Linked DNA regions of Saccharomyces cerevisiae S288C. The gene in region 1 interacts genetically with each later gene. Each region holds a gene or a part of one and is shown in the gene's direction. Other genes may lie near its edges. The genes, in order: PMP1 and NTF2.

Evidence for each region.
Region 2: mutations in PMP1 (region 1) and NTF2 together harm fitness more than expected from each alone (negative genetic interaction), as found in Saccharomyces cerevisiae (one large-scale study listed by BioGRID).

What each region holds. Positions count from the first base shown.
Region 1 is NC_001135.5:162,341-165,287, reverse strand, and holds PMP1 (proteolipid ATPase), read left to right. Parts: upstream 1-2,220; coding exon 2,221-2,343; downstream 2,344-2,947. Other genes in the region: nucleotide diphosphatase/phosphodiesterase NPP1, read left to right, coding at 1-1,177; YCR025C (uncharacterized protein), read left to right, coding at 1,432-1,842; YCR024C-B (uncharacterized protein), read left to right, coding at 2,423-2,689.
Region 2 is NC_001137.3:170,283-173,329, forward strand, and holds NTF2 (Ran GTPase-binding protein NTF2), read left to right. Parts: upstream 1-1,832; coding exon 1,833-2,210; downstream 2,211-3,047. Other genes in the region: GTP-Rho binding exocyst subunit SEC3, read right to left, coding at 1-1,536; YER010C (bifunctional 4-hydroxy-4-methyl-2-oxoglutarate aldolase/oxaloacetate decarboxylase), read right to left, coding at 2,352-3,047. UniProt on the Saccharomyces cerevisiae protein: Facilitates protein transport into the nucleus. Interacts with various nucleoporins and with Ran-GDP. Could be part of a multicomponent system of cytosolic factors that assemble at the pore complex during nuclear import.

The sequences.
Region 1 (2,947 bases):
ACAGCTAATTCTCGGTTATGTACCGAACGTAGATGCCTTTGGACATAAGCATGGATATCCGTCAGAGTCGGAATACTATTATGAAGACTTCACTGAAACACTGGGGGAAGTAGATACATTTCTGAAGCAACTAGTGGAATCGCTGCAAGAAAGAAATTTAACCAGCTTTACTAATTTGGTCATTGTTAGCGATCATGGTATGAGCGATATCGTAGTTCCCTCAAATGTTATTATATGGGAAGACTTACTGGACGAAAAATTGAGGAAGGATTATGTATCGCACGCATATCTAGAGGGTCCGATGATGGCTATATCGTTGAAAGATTCCGGAAACATCAATGAGGTTTACCACAATTTAAAGACTTCTATAGATGAAGACAAGTATACGGTTTACGTTAATGGAAATTTCCCCAAAGAATGGAACTTTAATGATGGAAAAAATCATCACATGGCGTCAATCTGGATTGTGCCCGAGCCTGGGTATGCAGTGATGAAGAAAGAACAATTGAAGAAGGTGGCAAAAGGTGATCATAAGGACAAAAACGAAGACAATGTGTTCACGATTGGATCACATGGATACGACAATAACGCGATCGATATGAGATCTGTATTTATTGGTATGGGGCCATATTTTCCACAGGGATACATTGAGCCGTTCCAAAATACCGAAATTTACAACCTTTTGTGTGATATTTGCGGTGTGGCAGAAAAGGACAGAAATTCCAATGATGGGACTGGGATGCTTATGAACCAACTCCGCGAACCCCAGAGCAGCGAAGAAGTAGAGATTGAAGATGACTTTGATTATTTGGTCAGTAAGTTTGGTGAATTCAGCACTTATAATATAATTTGGGGCGGGTACCCCGAAGAGACAGAACAAGACAATGTTGACAATGATAATGATGACAACGACGATGGAAACACTGATGAAATAGCCGCTATGCCATCTTCGTCATTAACGATAAAACTAGAAATGACAACTTCAATACCATCAGCAACTGAGACTCTACTGGGCGAAACATCACCATCATCAAGAAGCAGCAGCAGCAGCAGCATACAAGCTAGCGCTACTGCTAGCACAGTGGGGGATTGGCTTCAAGACATAATCAACGACGCAAAAGATCTCATTGACGACATAATTGACAGCATCGACGATTTAGTCGATTCTGATACCTAAGCTTAAGGTGGGACAACCGCGTTATGAAATAAAAGACGCATCCTTGTGAGTCCCGCGCAAGAAAACATATGCACGCAGAAAGAGACTTTTATTTAGATTTAGTATATCTCTAAACTTAATTCAGAAGTGAACCACTCTCTCACATCCGATGACAGTGGGGTCAATAAGATGTACTAAGTAAGAAAACTAATTACACAATAAAAAGAAACAAGCTGAAACTAGGCGTGTTAACTCTTTCCTAAACGAGGAGGTTTATGTCGTCATTTGGACATCGAGCATTTTTCAGCTGTTGTCCTTTACTAGAAGGAGAAACTTTGCATTCAATAAAATTGCGCAAAGAGGCAACATACCAAACTCAATCCGGGTGGCCGGTTCGATGGCCGATTCGGTATCCGCGCGCACTTCCCCTAGAATCCCACGTGCACCCATACCATATGATCGTTAAATTACCGCACCCACGCACCCAACCGCGGCTGTTTCTATGGCTGTCGTTGCATTGGACAGGAATTCCTTTTTTGGGAAAGCCGGGAATAGGTCGCAATCGGGTAAAATCAAAACAATTTTCGCATTTCCAACAGAGTAAAATCAAAACAACTATGAGAAAAAAAACAACAAACAGAAAGCAGAAAGCAGAAAGATGTCAATATAGACTTGTCACTGCGTAATAGAAGATAGCTTCAATTTTTTCCGATAATAATTTCCCATTTTTTTTTTTCAAATTTAGCCTTCCGTGCTTGCCAGTATATAAAGCTTTGAAAGCAATTTATTGTTTCTCTTGTAATCTTAACTTCCCTTTTTTTCTCTTATTGCGTCTTATCTTCCTTTAGAGTTTTTCATTACTACCCTTTTTCCATTTATTCTTTTTCCCTTTCAATAGTATTTAAAGGAAGACGCTACACACTTTGAAGGAAGAGCAAATAAGTTAACTTTTTCATCTCTTTTTTTTTCTCAACTTCAAACTAGTCACTCAAGCAAACTTTTGTTCCTACATATCCTTTGTTTGTTTCTCCTCTTCCCATTTCAGCACTTTTAATCTATCATAAATGACTTTACCAGGTGGTGTTATTTTAGTTTTCATTTTGGTCGGTTTGGCTTGTATTGCCATTATTGCTACCATTATCTACAGAAAATGGCAAGCTAGACAAAGAGGATTGCAAAGATTCTAAAAAGGGCGGAGCGAGCCATTTTATTTCCTGTCCCCTTCATCTTTGTTTATATCCATTCTAGAACATGAATTAGACTACTATGTGTGTGTGTGCGATACCCTTTTTTGAATTCTTTCTACCTTTTATCCCTCACTATGCCTTTCTTTTATTTGTTTCGTCCGTTCGCTTTACTGTAAATGAACGTTGTTACTACTTAGTGTGCGTGCTCAAGTTGAATTGTGCTTTTTTTTTTATGGTTATGATATTTGAACTAAAACGAGTGTGTGTTTCGTATTTAGACAGATCCCGTAAAATCCAAATTGTTAGCTTTTTTCCTTTTATCACTATTATTTTTTTCCACTCTTAACAATGTGTGTGATTGTTAAGTCTGGCTGATGACTCCTCATGATAACTCATGTGTGTGTAAAATTGAGTTTTTCATGGTTGTTTTCAAAGATAAATTACATAGTAGTGTAATCAAAATAGTGTATGATTTTTTTTTATTTTTAGAAAATCTAAATAATAAATAAATAAAAAATAAAATACAATCCTTACAGAGATTAGGCCGTCGAGTGTGGAGTATGAGTATGCACAACTTATAGTTATGATCTACTTTTTCTCGTCC
Region 2 (3,047 bases), on another chromosome or scaffold:
TAATTGGTCATGAGCTCTAGCTGTACTTCTCTCGGGCACGTAAGTACCATTTTGCATAGTAGGGGTGGTTTCTGTTTCTTCCGCCAAAACTGCGTTTAAGTCCTCCAAAAGGTTATCAACCTTACCATTTATTTCTTGAGTATAACTTTCATTGTCTACTTTGTTTCTTTTACTTTTTTCTTCCTCCTCCTTTTTAGCAAGCGCTTCTTGCTCTTCTTTTTTTAATCTCTCAGCTGTTTCTTGTTCTCTTTGTTTTCTCTGTATTTCCAATAGTTCTCTCTCTTTTTTTAGGCGTTGCTCTTCTTCGAATTGCCGTTGACGTTTCAACTCCATTTGCTTTTTAGCCTCCAGTTCCATTTGACGTTTTCGTTCCTCTTCTTCGAGTTGTCGTTGGTGTTCCAATTCCATTTGCCTTTTCCTCTCCTCCTGCTTTATTCTTCTTTCCTCTTCTAATCTTTTCATCTCATTTTCCTTTTGTAACTGAAGTCTTTTTTGCTCTTCTAATCGTCTCAGTTCAGCCTCTTCTTGTTGCTGTTGTTGCTCTAACTCGTATCTTTTATTCACTTCATTCAATGTCGAATTGGAAGAATAGGGGGCCTTATTTAGAGATTTCATTCCTGCATGATATTCCACGCTTGCAGGCGTTGACACTGGATTAACGCTTTCTGTTTCAGACCTTCTTGTCCTCTCAGTAGGTGCTGAAAAGGGGACAGAGCCCACCGATTGGGTAGTGTTTGTCGTGAAATTACTTGTAGGTGACTTTATTGGAGATACGGAACCGGGGCGATTTGTGATGACTGCTCTTTGATAACTCCTCTCGTCAAGATAAAAAAGGGATAAATCCCAATTGACCAATTCAGGGACATGACCTTCGAATGTTTGAATGTATAGAGTAATTAGAGATTTAATGAAAACAGTTCTTTCCTTCGCAGAATTCGTTTCCCAGTAGTATTTTTTACTCATGGTAAGAATGAAGCCTTCAGATATCTCCAGGTCCTTCTCTACTCTTACTAGTTCGGTCAACTGCCAAGTTCTACCAATTTGAAAAGAGCCGTCTGAGTTTTCTCTTGCTTTATGAATTTGTATTAGCTTGGCATTGTTGGGCTTGGCACTCAAAATAAGGAGTCTTTTCTTTTTGTTCTCCAATTTTGAATCTGGAGGAGGTCTTGAACTAGGGAATTTTGAATCTTCTATAATCCGGACATGTGTAATATAATTATTCGGCGGTTCACCTGTCTTATGGTCGGGTCTGGAAAAGCAGCAATTAATTATGGCTTTCCTATCCCTTTCATATTGTTCGGCTAAAAAATTCGAAGTTTGAGAGGAATTTGAAGCTCTCGACACGTTTCTCTTATGCGAATAATTTCCACCAGAAACAGGTGGTGCGGAAGAGGGTACTGCACCTTGACTGACGTTTCTAGAATGGTGAGCACTGCTACCGGATATTGTTCTCTTGTGGAAAAACGATGTGTTTTCATCGTGTGATGTCTCACGACTGTGAGACTTCCTTTTAAAAGGAGACTTCGAGGACCTCATAATATAGAATAAATTGCGTAGCCTTGTTACCTAGCTGGAGATATCTGGCACCGACTCAGTCTTTATGACCGCTTTTTCTTCATAAGCTATGATACTGTTATTGCTATAAGTGTTCACCAAGTTAGTATTTGCCCATTAATACCGGGTGACATAGTCCCACAAGCGTGGTTCTCAAAAAGCAACGAAAAATTTTCTGACTTGGCAAGGTGAGACTTAGGCTGATAAGTAAGTACTTTTTAGTTTTTAGTGTACAATACCCCCTAAGGAACCCAGGTTTTAATACTATTATCTTTATAATGTCTCTCGACTTTAACACTTTGGCCCAAAACTTCACCCAGTTTTACTATAATCAATTTGATACCGATAGAAGCCAATTGGGTAACTTGTACAGAAATGAATCTATGCTAACATTCGAGACTAGTCAATTGCAAGGTGCAAAGGACATTGTTGAGAAATTAGTATCTTTGCCATTTCAAAAGGTCCAACATCGTATCACTACTTTGGATGCGCAACCTGCTTCCCCAAATGGCGATGTCTTAGTCATGATCACTGGTGATCTGTTGATTGACGAAGAACAAAATCCACAGCGTTTCTCTCAAGTGTTCCATTTGATTCCTGATGGAAACTCTTACTACGTGTTTAACGATATCTTCCGTTTGAATTACTCTGCTTAAGGATTTTTTAAGTCACCACAGAAACATGTATTTTCATTTTCGAATATTGTTTAGCATAATTGAAGATGCTTAGCTAACGATGTATAAGGCGATAGCGATAAAGAAGATATATATATATATATATGTATGAAGATAGCGTTTTTAAATGTATTTCTTTAATACTGATCTTCGATCATTTTGAGCTTGTTTGGCGGGAATACCATTCTTAATATCTTCAGAGACAAGTAAATCCACTTCAATTGACTTTTCGATATAGGTAACTAATTTTGAAATGTCAGTCTCTTGAACAGGAATGCGTACTATTCCATTATTGTCACCTGCAATATAATCACCAGGACATATTGTTTGGGTTACGCCATCACTCGTTAAGATTTTCAACTGTACGTTAGTGCCTACGGCTTTAACGACAGCCTTTGGAGCGCAAGATCCAACACCGTAAGCAAAAACGGGATGGTTTAAAGTCCGGTGTTCATCCACATCTCTTATGCGTCCAAAGACTACTGTCCCATTCGATTTCAAATATTGTGCTCTGGTACTCATCAGCCCCCCGTACATCGCTTGCGTAATTTTAATAAATGGGTGGAACTGACTTTGCAAATGGGGCTCCAGTGCGAGGACGAGTATTGAGTTGGGAGGGACAGAGTCTATATAGTTCACGGCAGGTCTTGGATCATCAATGGGTGCAAACAGTACTGTGTATGCAGTGCCTACTATGGAGCTATTTTGCGGTGGAGAAATTGCTGTTAGATTAGGGAAATAACCACCCGTTGGAATGTTATAAACATTCAACAATCCGTCCGAAATATCACAGGTTGAGAACCTCTGTAACTTTTGAAG